3 linked regions of the Xenopus tropicalis genome follow. The main gene of each other region encodes a partner of the protein of the gene in region 3 in a complex. Links are inferred from orthologs where the notes say so. Each region holds a gene or a part of one and is shown on either strand. Other genes may lie near its edges. The genes, in order: sf3b1, sf3b4 and sf3b2.

The links.
Region 1: sf3b2 (region 3) and sf3b1 share a complex: the UniProt entries of both Homo sapiens proteins name them as parts of the SF3B subcomplex of the 17S U2 SnRNP complex. The link is inferred for Xenopus tropicalis from reciprocal best matches to the Homo sapiens genes SF3B2 and SF3B1.
Region 2: sf3b2 (region 3) and sf3b4 share a complex: the UniProt entries of both Homo sapiens proteins name them as parts of the SF3B subcomplex of the 17S U2 SnRNP complex. The link is inferred for Xenopus tropicalis from reciprocal best matches to the Homo sapiens genes SF3B2 and SF3B4.

Annotation. Positions count from the first base shown.
Region 1 is NC_030685.2:45,851,601-45,857,546, forward strand, and holds the end of sf3b1 (splicing factor 3B subunit 1), read right to left. Parts: intron 4,838-5,946; coding exon 4,706-4,837; intron 4,113-4,705; coding exon 3,840-4,112; intron 3,737-3,839; coding exon 3,520-3,736; intron 688-3,519; coding exon 529-687; 3' UTR 309-528; downstream 1-308. UniProt on the Homo sapiens protein: Component of the 17S U2 SnRNP complex of the spliceosome, a large ribonucleoprotein complex that removes introns from transcribed pre-mRNAs.
Region 2 is NC_030684.2:128,885,973-128,891,992, reverse strand, and holds the start of sf3b4 (splicing factor 3B subunit 4), read left to right. Parts: upstream 1-1,565; 5' UTR 1,566-1,601; coding exon 1,602-1,635; intron 1,636-3,919; coding exon 3,920-4,048; intron 4,049-5,102; coding exon 5,103-5,639; intron 5,640-6,020. UniProt on the Homo sapiens protein: Component of the 17S U2 SnRNP complex of the spliceosome, a large ribonucleoprotein complex that removes introns from transcribed pre-mRNAs.
Region 3 is NC_030680.2:40,091,434-40,097,379, forward strand, and holds part of sf3b2 (splicing factor 3B subunit 2), read right to left. Parts: intron 2,469-5,946; coding exon 2,431-2,468; intron 1,647-2,430; coding exon 1,599-1,646; intron 1,425-1,598; coding exon 1,275-1,424; intron 599-1,274; coding exon 544-598; intron 302-543; coding exon 210-301; intron 41-209; coding exon 1-40. UniProt on the Homo sapiens protein: Component of the 17S U2 SnRNP complex of the spliceosome, a large ribonucleoprotein complex that removes introns from transcribed pre-mRNAs.

The sequences.
Region 1 (5,946 bases), on a different chromosome or scaffold from region 3:
CTATTTGCTTTAGGAAAATGTGATGGTGCTGGCAAACAGAGGGGATATATACAGTACAAATGGTACCATTTGGGTGGGGTAGACGTGCCCAACTGATATACATTGTAGGCTTTACATGTCCTTTAAGGTTAGTAATGGTACTGTCTATTTTTGCTAATGATTTTGCAAAAAATGCAGGATGTTGCCACTTTAGAGTTTTCATAAACATTACACAAAATACAATTACTGTGGAACACTAGAAGGGCTGAAATAGATGGATTGTTTTTTTCAGCTAAATTTAACTTCACATAAAGGAACAAAGCATTACATTTTTTATACATAAAATGTTTATTTCACAAATACACATCTTCAAAGATAAATGAATGGCATTTGTATCAGATTTTGGATCAAAAATAGCCAAACTTTCCTAGTCACTTCTAAACAGATTACACCAAAACAGGCTCTCCTAAAAATCATGCTGCAGAACTGTGTGTATTACTTATGTTTCACATAATATGCAGAACAATTAAGTGAACGATGGTAAATATTTTACAAAATATAGTCAAGCTCATAGCGAATGTAGGTGTTCTTTTCATCATTGTATATACGAGGATAATGAGCAATGAGGGCATCTTGTGAGCCAATATATATTGAATTGTATATTTTCCAGTATACATCCCTCACTTTCCTGGCTGGATGAAAGAGGCCCTAGGAGAAAAAACAAAGAACAAAAAATAAAGGTGTGGACACAACATGCAGGTATCAGTTTTAAAGAGACCAAACAATCATTTTAATTTACAAAGTGTTTTATACTAATGTTAGTCTTGCAGAAACTAAAAGGTTAGCTAAAAAAAGGTTTTAAATAAATGTCAAGAGGAAAGATATGTACAACTCATTTTTAAATATGCACTGGTAGTACTGTATTTATTAAATACATGGAAGGCAGGGCACACAGGTCCCCAATGACTCCTATAAAGACCACTACTTCTGCACAAGTTTTATCATTTTTAAAAAAACGGTATTGTTTTGAAGCAATGTTTTGTTATGAATCATACTTACACTGAACCCTGGTTTGAAAAAGGGACCTGTACAGAAGCTACATGATTGCCTCCACTGCTCTAAATCAGCATATTTATACAAGTCATTTTACAGCTTAAAAGGAATACTTAAAGGGTTCCACCGCCAAAATTATTTTGTAAGGTGGAAAAAAAATCCAAGTTATTTTTCAAAATACATTAAACATTTTTTAATGTTCAAAAGTATCTGCCTGTCTACGTACTCTGCAATCCTGGCTCTGTCTTCTGAGACAATGCTGCCAGTTGATTAAAAGACCCTGAGAAGAACTGACTCCTGTTACAGTTTTAAGAGTCAGAATTAAATACAAAGTGATTGATGCATGCCAAAAAAAGCACTCAACTGAACATACAAATAAAACACTGGACAGTCACTCTCCTTTTGATGGAATGTATTTCTAAGGCGCTGGTCACCAACAGCATTGGCTCTGCTTCTTTCAGTCTGTTTTTTGTAGGCAGGCTAAGAAGTGTATCTACATTCCATAGCCGGGTATAGCTGCACTGACAGGAATTTTAGGGCTGATCCCTGCTCTGCTCCGTGTAACTAACTTGGGCAGCTGCACTGACAAGTACAGGTTCTATGAGAGTGGATCCACTATTCCCCGCCTGCCTACAGAATTCAGCGTGATAGAAGTGGAGCCAACTGTGTGTGAGACCTGGGAGGGTAGACGGGTATTGAAAGAATGGTCTGTGACCAGATGGGACCAAAATTAGTTTAAATGAATAGTTTTGTTTGGTGCAAACCTCTGCATTCTAGCACAAGAACTGTATCCCATCTGTTAGCCAAGGTTGTGGCAGTTTCATGTTTTGGGTCTGTTTCTGTCTCTGGACCAGGATGGCCAACCATCATTGATGAAACTATCATTTCTAAATTGTATCTGCAAAATCTGCAGGAAAATATTGGTTTCTAGCCATCAACTGAAGCTCAAGAGAATGTGGGTTAATGCAACAAGGCAATGACCCTAAACCCACAAGTCAATCTACCAAAGAATGGTCCTAACCCTGTATGGAACTGCTGCAAGGTTATAAGACTAGCCAGAACTTTTGCTTATTAATGATTGCTGATCTACATGTCTTGCAGTCAAGTCCAGCAGCCCCAACATGTGTTTGCCTAGATTAAATATGTTTATTTCTTGTAGATGGAGTCTTAGTGGCATCAGTTCTCTTTATCAAGCAAAGCTATACATTCTAAGGAAAAGTGCTTTGCACTCATGGTCTAAGCTTATGTTCTGCAGCTGATCAACTGAATAATGGGCAGTTAACAAAATAACTTGATAGCACTTCAATATTTATATGGTGCTACCGCTGCTTTGCTAATAGCACATGCTGGGTGAGGAAACAGGCAAAAAAAAAAAAAAGTGTAAAACAGAGGCAGTATAGGTTATGGACCACGGAGATTCACATAGGGAGTAACTCAAATGTTACCTTGGGTGATTGGTTAACAGTTATTGGTGAGATATCCTATGGGCAAAAAGTGACTCATCTGATATTTCCCTAAGGCTAAGAGCACAGGGACTATGCCTTGGACCTGTGTGCATACACACAAATCAGATATCAGTACAAAAATGCATACGGTTATATGCTAAAATTTGCTCCATGTATCTGGCCAACACCATGCTTATTAGTGAAAGCCTCAGATAAATTTGGTCCAAGTACTGGTTATGTATCCAGTGACTGCAGACAGTCATTACTCTCTAGGCACACTAAAAACTACTACAAGATTAAGAGTGCATTGTTAAAGATGAAGCTCATGGAAACAATAATTCAATGTCCAAGGTACAAGTGCACCTTTAAATTCTACCCCCTGCAGTTTGTGGGCATTTAGAAAATACTCTAACAGTAAGTATTAGGGTAAAATGTAAGAGCCCACAGCTGTGGCTAAGCACCCTTCTTATTACACCCAGAAAAAGAAAAACAGGAAATTGAGTGTGTTTATTATCTGGTGACCCTCCACTTGATTTACTTTTCTACTTACTGACGTCAATAATTTGCTGTACTGTTTCATCACAAATACTGTATTTCAAACTTTAAGAATAAAATTATATAATAATCACCTAACACCTACTGATTTATTTGATTTCATTCAATTAACATATCTAACTCCAAAAAATATATTTTTAGGAATTTCTTTAGTAATAAGTAATTAGTTAAACTACATCCTCAGGATAAAAAGAAGCAGGATATTTAAACTTCTAGGTAGGTAGGCACTAGTATGGGAGGGTGGAGTATACATCCTGATGAATAGCAACGTATGGCTCTGTGCCCCAAGAAGGTTACATCCTCTAAAATCATTAACTACTATAAAAAAACAAAAACAAAAAACAAACAAACAAACCACAAACTACTAAAATCTTACCATCACAATGGCTTTATAATACATTTTAAACAGCAATACATGTTCTTAGAACAAAATGTTTATCTGTAATATAAAAATACATGAATTTGTAAGGGAAAAAAACAAACATACCTGTAAGCAATACTGCAACATTCTACAAGGCCCAATTGCAACCCGTAGGCCTTCAAGTGCACCCATAACAGCCTGGATGACATGAGGGGAAGTTTCAAACACATTTGGCCAAACATAGTTCAGCAAATGGTTCAAAGAATCTTCACATCCAAATCCATACACGCCTAGTGACATATGCTGAACAACTGCACTAGCAGTCTGTCGGTGTACAAGATCTCTGAAAAGTAAAATAGGGTGGGGGTGAAGAAAAAAAAAAACAAAATATTAGGGACAATAAAAAAAAAAATTATCTCCCCCTTCCCATTAAAGAATTTATTTACCTGTCCATTAAAGCATCTTCCAGCAATGGTGTTACAGCATAAATATAATCCTTTCCCATTTCTCCAATGTATTCGAAAAGGAAAGAGAGGGATTTTAACACACCATTTTGAACATTGAGTTCTGGTACTCTATATTCATTCATTAGTGCTGGTAAAACTGTAAATGGTGAGCAGGTTTCTGCAACAATAGCTATTGCTACTGTGGTGCATACTCTGTTTTGTCTCTCTTGCACCTTTAAATTATTAAGAAGTGTGGCAAGAACATCATGAGGCCTAAAAGAGAAAAAAATGTTTAACACAAAAAATGAAAGGCAACCTGAATTAAGATGCCTGCACACAAAGTGAAAGTCAGTTGTAGCATTTTATTATGCTATATTTATTATTATACTTTAAGCACAAAACATAAAATGTGTGGTGTTAGTAAATAGCGCTTTAAGTACTAGTGTTGCTATACACAAAGCACCATCTCTGAGCCTTACCTGAAGCACATGTAAATGCTGTGCAAGAACCCTGGGCACCAAGTTGTGCCATAGGATTGTTGCTGCTGTGACAAGACTGCCACAGAAATGAATGCAATTGCTTATACAGTCCTAAAAACAGCTGTAAATCCTGTATTGCATGCTTTTACAGCCATGTGTAATTTTTCCCCACACACTCTACAATTTTTCATTAGGCTGCAAAAGCCCTTAATTCTTTATTTTCATTTTAAGGCACATGAAAAAATAATGTTAAAAGCAACAGTCCTGTTTTGTATAACATTTTATTTCTATAAATTTGTAGTCAACATTTCTGAACAAGTTAAATAAATGTGACACTATCATATTTTGTTCAATAGGTTAAACATCTGAGAAACCATATATACTTACCCAATAGCTTTTGCAATATAGCCAAAGGTATTGACAGTTGCTCTTCTAATTGCCTTCTTATGTGCCTTTAGCAGTTCCAGTAACTCGAAACAAATCCTCATCCATTCCCTTGCAGACACATATTCAGCTCCTCTGAAAATATCATCATAACAAAATGTTAAGGTCATTTTCATAAGCTCAGAGTTAGAAATTTGCAGGCTACAATAACTAGCACTTCTGATCACTTTGTGGCCAATTTGATGGTTCTAGTTGTTTTTGTCATCTTGCCTATTCTTCACTTAAAACTTTTCCTGCCCTGATATTTGGTCAATCCTTGACTTTGCTTTTTTCTTCTCCTTACCGTACTCAGCCCTGTTATGTGCCCCTGTCCTGGATTCAATATCAATTCAATTGGGTCAATAAGTTGTAAAAAAATGTTGGTAAACCACAGAAGCATGAAAAAGATCCCTGAGGATGCTTTGATTGGCTATTTGGTAGCCTCATGCAGGAAGTTCTTGGACTAAAATTGTCTGTGCTTCCAAAACTTGCCTCCAACCCAGAAATGTATTTGAAGACACGGAGCAAAATCAAAAGGGGTGGTGAGCAACACGTTGCTCATGAGACACGGGTTGGGGATCACAGTCCTAAAGCAATAATGCCATCAAACCTTTTTTCATTTTTATTATACCGTGTAATACCCTTATTTGAGCTTTAATAAATTGATTTCATGCTTGCTACTTTATTTAAAAAAAAGGAGGTGTACCCTGGAGATTAAACTAAAAAGTAGTTACGTGTATACTCGAGTATAAGCTGATCCAAATATAAGCCGAGGTACTTAATTTTGCCTAAGAAAACTGGAAAAACCTATTGACTCGAGTATAAGCCTAGGGTGGAAAATGCAGCAGCTACTGCCAAGTTTCAATAATCAAAATAAATTCCAATAAAATTAGGATCTATCAATCTTACTGAACAAATACGTGCAAGGAATGAGTATGCGAGATGCCAGGCTCTCCCCTACTGCCTCCCACAGGCTTAACAGCATAAATCACCTGGAGAAGGAATCACTCATTAATACCTGCGTTGCTATTGAACCACCCCTCCTCAATTCCCACAAAATGCATAAGGTTGTTGGGGGCTGATGGAAATTGACGAAAATTACAAATCCTCGGTACTCACCCATAACAATATATAAGGGACAGTAAGATATTTAAAGTGATACCAACTCCAAAAAAATTTATTCTTTCCTACTTCCAAACCTACCT
Region 2 (6,020 bases), on a different chromosome or scaffold from region 3:
CAGCAATGAATCCTCCTCCGCTGCTCCGTTGGGTACAGCACTTTATATAATGTGAGGAGTTAAACTATGTTGCAGTGCCATCTTGCAAGTCATGCATAATGGCGTGGCAAGATCAAGACATTTGCCAATCCTGATTGGTGGGTAGGGGGCAGCAAATCAGTACTGTCCCACAAAAATCAGTAGTTATAACCCATATACTGGGCAAAATCAAACTGATCAGATGGTTATGATCCAACAACTGTATCACAACCTAGGACTATGGGACAATGTTGTCAAAGCTGCCAGCTTATACTGGGGAGGCCAACCAAACTGTCATCTTACATTGTCCTGTGTACAATCAGGATAAAAGAGAATAAAAGCCTGGTTAGTACCTTTGTCCCTTCCTAAACCCCACCAACAGGGACCCCCAAACCTGCTTAGTTGTTGTATCTGGTTAGAAGAAGAAAAGTGCAGGTTTGGCAGCTGCCATCTTGGGCTGCTCTGGCTCCCCTCACTACTGCTCCACCAGTCTGCTTTTTATATCCAGGGGCAACAAACAAGGAGTTTTTGGTACCAAGGCATTCACCAGGCTTTCAGTTACCTTTAACATTAAAGGTTTAAAAATATACATCAGACACAATAGTCAAATCTACTATTTGGCCAATAAGACTTTCTTGTCTCACTAAATTCTCAACCAACAGACATCTCTATGTAAAAGGGGAGGAGCATTGGTCTTTACATGTGACCCTTGTATGTTCCTTTAGGGTGAAGACACACAGAGCTACTAGTAGCAGCTACTTTTTCACAGCTACTAAACGCCAAAAAATCCCCTGCCATAGACAATACTGAGAATTCCCTCTGCTAAGGGCTCTGGCACACGGGGAGATTAGTCGCCCGCGACAAAACTCCCTGTTCGCGGGCGACTAATCTCCCTGAGTTGCCTTCCCCTGCCATCCCATCGGCGACAATGTAAGTCGCCGGTGGGATGGCACACGCGGCGGCGCGATTTCCCGAAATCGCCGAAAAAGATTTGGGAAATCGCGCCGCCGCGTGTGCCATCCCGCCGGCGACTTACATGTTTGCCAGTGGGATGGCGGGTCATGACAACTCGGGGAGATTAGTCGCCCGCGAACAGGGAGTTTTGTCGCGGGCGACTAATCTCCCCGTGTGCCAGAGCCCTAAAACACATTGAGACTGTTATCAGTAAATGATCAGCATTGTCTATTTAAGTAGCGACTACAAGTAGTTGCTACTAGTAGCTCCGTGTGTCTGCACCCTTAGCTCACACCAGGGACCCTTTAATAATCCTTGGTGCCCATAGAAACAATGAAACACCCTCTATGCGCTGACAATACTGGCACATTTACTGTAAAATCTTAAAAAAATATAAAAATAAATAAATAACCCCCTCAGAGTTTACTACACGTTTACTTTTAGCTTTGGGGTTTCATTACAATACAAATATCTCCGCCGGAAAGCATTGACTGCATAAGGCATGTTAATAAAGTTATTCCATCTAAAAAAAAAAAAAAAAAGTGGTTGCGGAAGTAAGCGTTCTGAGGCCGGAAGTAGGGAAGCGGAAACTGAAGCAGCGAGGTGGCTGAGTGGTTGGCGGCGAGAAAATGGCGGCTGGGCCGATATCTGAACGGAACCAGGGTAAGGAACGTACAGACTGCGTATGGGCTGCATGGGGTGATTGGGGCGGAGGGAACTGTTATGCCGGGGGGGCTGGAAGTAGGGGTATCCGGGGTTTACAGGGAACAGTAAGAGCTCAGAGCAGGGGGAGGCGGGCTGCACTGTGTGCATGAGGTGCAGGCTCCATCTCTGTGCAAAAGTCATTTGGACACAAAGCTGTTCTTATAATATCGGCAGCCCGGCCTGTAACTGTACCTGAATCTACACAGAAACATTGATCTGCTTCTTCCCCACCAATACAGTTTATAGTGCTATCCCCATAAACACTGTGTATAATGCACAGAACTAATGCTAAGCAGCCTCCCTATATACATTCATTACACATTTCCAACGTTTATAAAGTTTCTTGCAAAATATAATTGTTAGCGAAAGCCGTCTGTCTTATTATAGTCTACACTGCTGGTTCTGACTTCTGAAACAATGTAACAAAGGCCAGGGCTATTAAACTATGAAATGGTTTCAAGAATAAGAAAGGGGCAGATAGATACTACTTCCAATAGCAATAGCATTTACCTTTGAACCACTGATTTTTTTTATTACCGTATATACTCGAGTATAAGCCGATCCGAATATAAGCCGAGGTACCTAATTTTACCTAAGAAAACTGGAAAAACTTATTGACTTGAGTATAAGCCGACCAGTTACATGGGAGTAGGAGAAACAATAGGTTACCTCAAAGCTGTTCTATCTCATGGTGGCGATTTGGGACATCAGTGCCCGACAAGACAAGGATGAGACACCCACAGAATGGCCACCCAGCACCCTGCTATATTTCAATGAGACCCAAAGCAACTCCCGGTGTGCAAGTGAAGCAGCGGTACCTTGCGGTGTGCCCTGTCAGCAGCGCCAGAGGATCCGTAAGCCCAGCATTTACGCTGCTCTTTAAATAAGCGGCGGCGCTCCTCTTAATTCCAACCTGTGTGTCTGCAAGGAGCCGTCATGTAATCGCCTCGCCAGCTGCCGTGTGACAAGGGTTAAAGAAACAGAGCGCTCTCGGCACAATTATTGCAATAAGCAGCACACCCGACAGCAACAAGACACCACGGTCCGGGAGTTTGGCGCTGTTTGGCCGGTCCTTAGAGTTGCGGGACAACCTCAATAAAGTCCGCGAACGGGTCCTTCGCTATCTGGCGGTAGTCCGAGCGCTATCTTCCGCTACGTCACAGGTGTGCAGGCAGGTTCGCATGCAACGAGCAGCTGCGAAACCATTTACCGTATATATACGCGAGTATATGCGCGAGTATAAGCCGAGGGTTCCTTTTTCAGCACATTTTTAGTGCTGAAAAACTCGGCTTATACTCGAGTATATACGGTATATATATATGTTGGAAAGTTGATGAAAACTTTCTCTCGTTATCTTTCGGGTTTATAGGTGGATATCTCCAGGGTTGTAAAGGGAAAGCTAAACCCTGTAGCAAGGAGAGTTTGTATTACAAGGATTAAAGGAACAGTAACACCAAAAAATGAAAGTGTATAAGGGCTCTGGAACACGAGGAGATTTGTCGCCGGCGATTTTTAAAAGAGCGATTTGGCGACAAGACACCAATGCTAAATCAATGGAAATTGCCAGCGTCAAAACATACGAGGCTACTTCAGATCGCCTGCTGTTTCAAGTCGCACACAGACCCTTTTCTGAGCGACTTGAGGGGGGTTAACTGTTGAGTGTACCATGGGTAGCAGATCGCCTGGAGCTCAACTCGCATGAAATCTCTTTGAGGGTATTCTCGTGGCGACTTGTCGCCAAAGCGCCAGGGGGAAAAAACGCAGACGACAAATCTCCTCGTGTGCCAGAGCCCTAAAAGTAACTAAAATATAATGTGCTGCTGCCCTGCACTGGTAAAAGCTGTGTGTTTGCTTCAGAAAGTCTACTATAATTTATATAAATAAGCTGCTATGTAGCCATGGGGGCAGCCATTCAAAGGAGAAAAGGCACAGGCACATAGCAGATAACAGATAAAACACTATTGTATTCTACAGAACTTATCTGTTATCTGCTATGTAACCTGTGCCTTTTCTCCTCTTTTCCAGCTTGAATGGCTGCCCCTGTGGCTACACAGCAGCTTATCATATAAATTATAGTAGTGTTACTGTAGCAAACACACCAGTTTTACCAGTTCAGGGCAACAGTGCCTCGGATCTATGATCTGTGCATTTATTCAGAGTGTAACGGGGATATTTAAAGAGAAGGTGGAATAGCTGATTTGCCGTGTACTATAACTTTTTTTTTTTTTCTTTTTGGATTTAGATGCCACAGTGTATGTCGGAGGCCTGGATGAAAAGGTGTCTGAGCCTCTTCTATGGGAGCTCTTCTTGCAAGCAGGGCCTGTAGTGAATACACACATGCCCAAAGACAGGGTCACGGGGCAGCATCAAGGTAAGATTGGCACCTCTTAACCATTATTTCTTATAGCTGTGTATAGGCAGGAATGGAGGGGAATGCTGTGGAGAAGTTGTTGCAATTTGTAACAAGAATGTTTTAGTCCCTCCTCCCCTGCCAGGATTTCAAATGATGCAGAAAGAGAAGAACTGTTTTGCAGCTGGATTTCAGCATATAAAAATGGTATTTATTCATGCTTTTTGAAGGAACAGATTACAGGGTATTTTGGGGGTTTCTGTGTGCGGGAAGCAATAGTTTCCACATCGTTTGATCATGGTTAAAGCAACATATCTACTTGGTCACTGTCTCTTCCCATTTGCCTGAATGGGGAAACACCACAGGTGTCCTGGTGAAAATGTGTGCTGGATCCAAAAGCATCAGGGTGAAGACACACAGAGCTACTAAGTAGCAGCTACTTTTTCAAGGCTACTAAACCCCAGAAAATCCCATGCCATAGACAACTGAGAATTGCCCCTGCTAAAACACACGTAGAGACAATTATCAGTAAATGACCAGCACTGTCTTTTTTTTTTTTTTAGTAGCCACAACAAGTAGCTGCTATTAGTAGTTCCATGTGTGTTCAACCTTAAGGCTGAAGACACACAGAGCTACTAGTAGCAGCTACTTGTAGCAGCTACTTGTCACAGCTACGGGAATAGACAATGCTGATCATTTGCTGATAATTGTCTCCGTGTGTTTTAGCAGAGGCAATTCTCACTATTGTCTGGCAGGGGATTTTCTGGCATTTAGTAGCCTTGAAAAAGTAGCTCTGTGTGTCTTCACCCTAAGTGTACATGCTTTGCATCTCACAGCAATAGTGCTTTTATGTTGTCCTTCCTTCCACCCCCAGGATCATACATCTTTGTTACTGTTAGTTGATAACATTGCTACAATATCATATGTGGCTTTGCTGAAAACAAAGGAATCATTCCTTTTTAATGGCGGGGTGGGTCATCAATTTCTAGCTATGGAAGCTGCCATGTTGCACTCCGTGCTGAGTATATGTATAGATAACAGACAGGTGATACAGTCTCTGATGGTTTGTTTCCAGGTTATGGCTTTGTGGAATTTCTGAGTGAGGAGGATGCCGACTACGCCATAAAGATTATGAACATGATAAAGCTCTATGGGAAACCCATTAGAGTAAATAAAGCCTCGGCGCACAACAAAAACCTGGATGTCGGCGCCAACATCTTCATTGGAAACTTGGACCCAGAGATTGATGAGAAGTTGCTTTATGACACCTTCAGCGCTTTTGGTGTAATCTTGCAGACCCCCAAGATCATGAGAGACCCAGACACCGGCAACTCCAAAGGTTATGCCTTCATCAACTTTGCCAGTTTTGATGCTTCGGACGCAGCCATTGAGGCCATGAACGGACAGTACCTGTGCAACAGGCCCATCACCGTCTCCTATGCTTTCAAGAAGGACTCCAAAGGAGAGCGGCATGGGTCGGCCGCAGAGAGACTGCTGGCTGCCCAAAACCCACTTTCACAGGCTGACCGGCCTCACCAGCTTTTCGCCGATGCCCCTCCACCTCCGTCTGTACCAGCTGTCATTACATCATTAACAAGTGCAGTTGCTGCAGGTGGGTATTTTTGCTTTTCAGCTGGCATTAAAGCAGGGACTGGTTGTGGGGCTGAAAGTGCCAGAAGTTGGGAGTTGTAGTTTTGTTACAACAGCAATGTTGAATGTTGACTTTTTTTTTTAATAAGATAGATGTCTGGCAAATCATCTGATCTCCCTGAAAGTTTGCAGGGGTTTTGGCCTTATGATCTTAAGTATGTACTGAATTAAGGGTTTTACTAAGTGAAGGATGTTATCTATCATGGAGAGTGTTAACCTTCTGGCTTTGTGTGCCTTAGTTAGACAGGCCAGCTTTGTTTTCTACAGGAATGAAACACAATGAATATTCTAGATATGTCTTGAAGGCAAAGCTAGCTAGGTAATCAATTCTGTCTGTCTGGGC
Region 3 (5,946 bases):
GGACCTGAGGGATTTTAGGTCCTGTTGAGCTGTCATCTGCCTGTTTTAAGAAAAACAGAAACAATCAGAACATGATAAAAAGGTTGCAGTGCAGAAAATATGCAGCACATAAAATAATAAACAAAAGAGGAAAACTGAGGAAAATGGAAAGAGACAATGCCATGAACAAAACGTAAAAAGCAAATAAATTAGCAAAAATTTGGACTTACTTCCTTGGAATCCTCTCCAGAAGGTTGTGATTGGACTCGAGGGCGGCTTGTGGAGGACATCAATGGTGGGATTGAGCTTATGGGGAGGGTACCTACAATTAAGATATACTTCAATACATATAGCAGGTACTCACAGATCCCACGAGCAGGCAAGAGTAGAAAAAATCAAAGAAGCTTTATTGTAGACAATTAGACCACATAATAGCTTTACTCATTTCGTGCACTTGACACTTAATCATAGGCTAGCTTTACCTACTTTTTGATTGCGAATGTACACCAATTTCCCCCCCAGAGGACAGAAATTATTCTAGTGTAGAAATATATAAATATTTACCTCTAGGAAGAAGGGGTGACCGTGTCGTGGAGACTTCCTGATCGATAAGTGTCACCTAGAAGAACAACAATGTAAATATATGGTTGTGTTAAGTGAAACATTTCAAAAGGCAATACATACACCATTTAGACAGTTAACTTTAATTTTTTTCCCCCTTACTAATATTTACTAAAACATATGGGCCAGAGTTATTTAGAGCCATTAATTTATATTCTGTGTTAGTTATGCATTCATCCTTTCCTCTCTATGTATTTATCCGCTATGTCCCCAATTATACCCCCACCTCAGCCTTTATACTTGTACAAGACAACTTCCCATACAGTTTCTCAATAGCCCCGAGTCAGAACATAAAATACATTTTCTCTAATTGCCTCTTGCTCCTAGTAAGGAAGCAGAGAGAATATACCAAATCTAGTACTGAATATAAAACCTGGGCTTCACATGAAGATGAACCAAAATCCAGGGGTCACAGTGTTCTTTTCTCTTCTCCAACCCTGCTATATCTCTCCAATGGGACACAGCAGCATTTGTATTAAAGACTTCAAAATTTGGTTTCATTAAGTATGGTGTTGTGATACTACCTGACATAATAAAAATATCCCTGGAACCCTGTGGCTAACAAATCACTCAGTTTTGCACATAAAGACTTGCAGAATCATTTGCGAGACTGATACTTAAATAAATGACACATTTTTGAGTCTGATCATTTAGGACAGGAAATACATTTTTACCTTTGGCTGCAGTGAAAGAGTTGGACCTTGTGACTGCTTTACCCCATCAGTGTCAGTAGTTATGCGAGGAGGCAAACCTATTGGAAAACCTCTTCCGAGACCAGGAGGTGGGGGAGGAGCCTGAAGTGTGGGTAGAGGCATCCCAGCCATCTATAAAAAGGACAAGAAAGCACTTATTTAGGGTGAATAAGACAAATAGAATTAGTATGGTCAGGCAGAGTAGACTGAGTAACAGAAAAAAAAAGACTCAATAAGCAAGAAGGCAAAGTTTATAAAAAGTAAAAATACTGTTTTATTTGATCCTAATTTAGCCAGCACACCCACCTGTGCCAATCTAACAGCAGTAGAGGATATTTCAGCATCATCTCGAACCTAAAATAAAAGAAAACATAGATACAATAAAGCTTTTATATAAAACAGGGTTATCTGCAAAAGAAACTATGTCTGGCCCACTGATCTGTGCAAATAGGGTTCTTTACTCAACAGGAAGGAATCATATTAGCATTTTCAAATCACTTGACCAGCACATTCAAATACCTATCTCAGTATAAACAAAAAATCAAAGATGCCCACTCACTGAAGATTGCCTTGCCCATGAGAAAAATAATGGATTTTGCTAAAGTAAACGTATGAAAAGGGTTTTTCATAGAGATTTCATAGAGAGCTTTTGCTTAAAATTTGAATGAAGCAAAGCAGAAAAAGCTGGGTTCTGGTGATCCTAAAGACTTAAAGGCTCATTTACTAACATAGTTGCTAAATTACACAAAAATGCAGTTGCCAACAGCAAACAATCAGCAAATAACTTGAAAATGAAAGCAAAGACATGACTGGTTGCTATCAGTACCTACACTAATGTAATCTAGCACCCATGTGTGTAAAGCCCATAACTGTATGGGAGTTATGGGACTTCTTAGTAAAGCTATTGCCACATGGGACTGATTCTTTTCATGTGTATAAACACTGCCTGAGAATCAACTGATCCTCTATCCTCTTGCTCCTTGGTGTACTTAGTGCCTGTGAGTGCAAACACAGAGTGGATTATAAATGCCCTGTTATTGGGTCAGTTAACCAGTCTGTAAAGTGAAAATTAAAAAAAGGGGTAAGGATTGACTGTAAGACATTCCAGACAAATATATAGTAACACACAGTAAATTACCTGTGGAGAAGCAAGATCCATAATATCCTCTCTGCTTCCTGTGGGAAAGAGACATTATTAATAAGATGTACTAGTAACTCAATATTACATAGAATACACTTTCTGAAAAGTACTATGCTCTACAATTTAAGGAGGAAATATCCTTCATAATACTTCACAGGAATAACACCTTCCAGCAAAAGACCTTGTGGAGAATAATTATTTACAAACACTTTCTTTTTAATAAAGTATACTGTAACCACTCAGGAAATATACAAGAGGCTGATTCTATATCCAGCCTTACCACATGATACCTTTGCATCCCTTCTGTACTCCTTGCCAGTCAACATGTGGTCATTGCTGCCTTTTATATCACAAAAAGGTGCTGTGAAATGTTGCCAACAAGTTTTCAGTTTTCCAGTTGTTAAGTTCTATATCATTGTGTATCTCTGGTCCTAAGAATGTCATTATAAAAATACTTAAACTAATAACAGAAAACTAGAAGAAAATCCCCTAGCCCTGATATGGAGTTACACAAAGCATAATCAGATTTCAATTCCAACTCTCATAAAGGACAGGGTTTTGGAAAAGAAAATTCTAAGGAAAAAGTTCACCCTGTTTCTAGAATGGTCTTGATAGAGGCAGGTTTGAGACCAGCAATACAGCTGATGAAAAAATTGCTGTAGTTTTCTGGCAACACACATAGTCTAATGTGATGGTGCACAAATTTCTACCTACCCCTGTTAAATTAATTTGTCATATAGGGCAGTGCTGTCCAACTGGCGGCCCGCGACCCCCCTCTGTGTGAGTAAGCATTAAATGGTATCAGTACTGAGATTAACTGGCCCCCTGCATGGTTCTCACCTCAGATTCAGGCTGTAATCCCTCTGTATTGTTTAAAAATGTAGTTCCCTGTGTTTTTCACACCTTTTAATACCTGCATTGTTCACCCCCAGCAGTGTTCACACCTCAGGCTCAGACTGTAATCACTCCAATTGTTTACTTCTTCACACCTCAGACATAGGTACTGTAGGCAGAGTATGGCACATACAGCCAGCATAGGGCAGGTAGAGTATGGCACATACAGTCACGGTAGGGCAGGCAGAGTATGGCATACACAGGCAGGGTAGGGCAGGCAGAGTATGGCACACACAGTCAGGGTAGGGCAGGCAGAGTATGGCACACACAGTCAGGGTAGGGCAGGCAGGAAATGGCACACACAGGAAGGGTAGGGCAGGCAGAGTATGGCACACACAGTCAGGGTAGGGCAGGCAGAGTATGGCACACACAGTCAGGGTAGGGCAGGCAGAGTACGGCACACACAGTCAGGGTAGGGCAGGCAGAGTATGGCACACACAGTCAGGGTAGGGCAGGCAGAGTATGGCACACACAGTCAGGGTAGGGCAGGCAGAGTATGGCACACAGAGGCAGCATAGGGAAGGCAGAGTATGGCACACACAGGCAGGGTATGGCACACACAGAAAGCATAGGACAGGCAGAGTGCTGCCTGTGTGTGCCATACTCTGCTTGCCCTATGCTGCTTGTGGGAGGTGAACCTGGCAGGGGTTTGTTGTGGGAGTTTGTTAGCAGTTGGAAATAGCCATTAAATCGTTCCTAAGGTGTGTAATTATGTACTGGGGGTTGCTCTGCTATCCACAGGGGAGGAGGAGGCATATGGAATTTAAGGGTATATCTTAATATGACATAATTCTTTCACATATGAATGATGGTTGATATCCCCACAGTAAGGACCAAGCATTTGGGATTTTGCTGTGCTACCACCATTGTGATAAAATAGGTGTGGTTTGAAGTGGGTGTGGTTTCAAAAAGGGGAGTGGTCAAAACTGGCTACAATTAGCGGCCCTCCACCATGTATGCTAGAGAAATTCCGGCCCTCGGCACCGTAGAAGTTGGACAGCACTGATATAGGGGAATGCTAGTATTTGTGCATTATGTAAGGGGGTCAATTCTTTCATTTAAAGCCAGATGTGCATGCTGCATGGCTAATTAGCAATTCACCCTGATGTGTGAAATAGTTTATACATCAACCTAAAAGGCTGGTAACTCCATCTCTTTAGGGTATATGCCTATCATGGGGCTGTACTGGTTTTTATACAACCTGGCAGACACAAGGGCGCAGACTTTGAGCCTTCAACAAAATGTGGGTAGATTAGATGTATAGAAACCTTCAATGAGATACCTGTGCAGGCTGCAGTACAAATCTCTGCAAATTTCTAAAGCTGGCTATACACAAGCCGACAAAAGCTGCTGACAATTATCCGTCCGTGTACGTGACCCCAAGACAATTCTTCTGATACTAATTGCACTGGTTTTAGAGCTGCCATGCTGTAATCTGTATTTACTAATCAGCCTGCTCAAGCCGGCCAGCTTAAAGGACAAGGAAAGGCTAAGTCACTCAGGGGTGCTAAAATGTTAGGCACCCCCAAGTGGCTTTAATCGCTTACCTTGTACCCCGGGCTGGTGCCCCTGTTAGGAGAAAACAGCACCAGCCCGGGGTACCTGTAGCAAGCGCTTCCTCCTTCCTGCATCGTTTTGCCGGACCCCACGACCGGCGCATGAGCAGTAACCTAACATTTTGGCACCCCAAGTGACTTTGCCTTTCCTTGTCCTTTAAAGGAAAACTATACCCCCCAAACAATGTAGGTCTCTATAAAAATATATTGCATAAACAAGCTCATATGCAAAACCCTGATTCATCTAAATAAACCTTTTTTGATATAAATATACTTTTTTAGTAGTATGGGCTACTGGGTACTCCGAAATAGAAAATTGCCATTTTAAGAATAAAGAGTCGTCTCCTGCAAACACAGGATTCAGAGTGCACACAAACAAGCCAACACATACATGCTAGGCCCCATAAGCCAACTAATAGACATAGTTCTGCCTTTTGCGTCTATACTTCTTCCTGGTCATGTGATCTCTGAGGCAGCACACAGCCCATTACTAAATGGTGGATCAAGGGAAAAGATGTAAAAGGGCAATATTTATTTTCTCTATATTATTTGTTTGGCGAGATTCTTTAATAGGTCACTTAACATAATATAAACTATCTGTTGGTTAAGTATTCATTCTGGGGGTATAGTTTTCTTTTAAGTGACCTTATCATCCAGGCATTTATTTGAATGGAATGCCCTGCTAGGTGAAGTTGTAATGCAGATTCTATTAATGCCTTAGGGCTCTGGCACACGGGGAGATTAGTCGCCCGCGTCAAAACTCCCTGTTCGCGGGCGACTAATCTCCCCGAGTTGCTTTCACCTGCCATCCCACCGGCGACAATGTAAGTCACCGGTGGGATGGCACATGCGGCAGCGCGATTTCGGGAAATCGCCGAAAAAGACTTGCGAGGCTTTTCCGGTGATTTGCGCGAAATCACGCAGCCGCATATGCCATCCCACCGGCGATTTCCATTTTCGCCGGTGGTGATGGCAATCCGGTGAGATTAGTCACACGCGAACAGGGAGATTTGTCGTGGGCGACTAATCTCACCGTGTGCCAGAGCCCTTAGTAATGGCTATT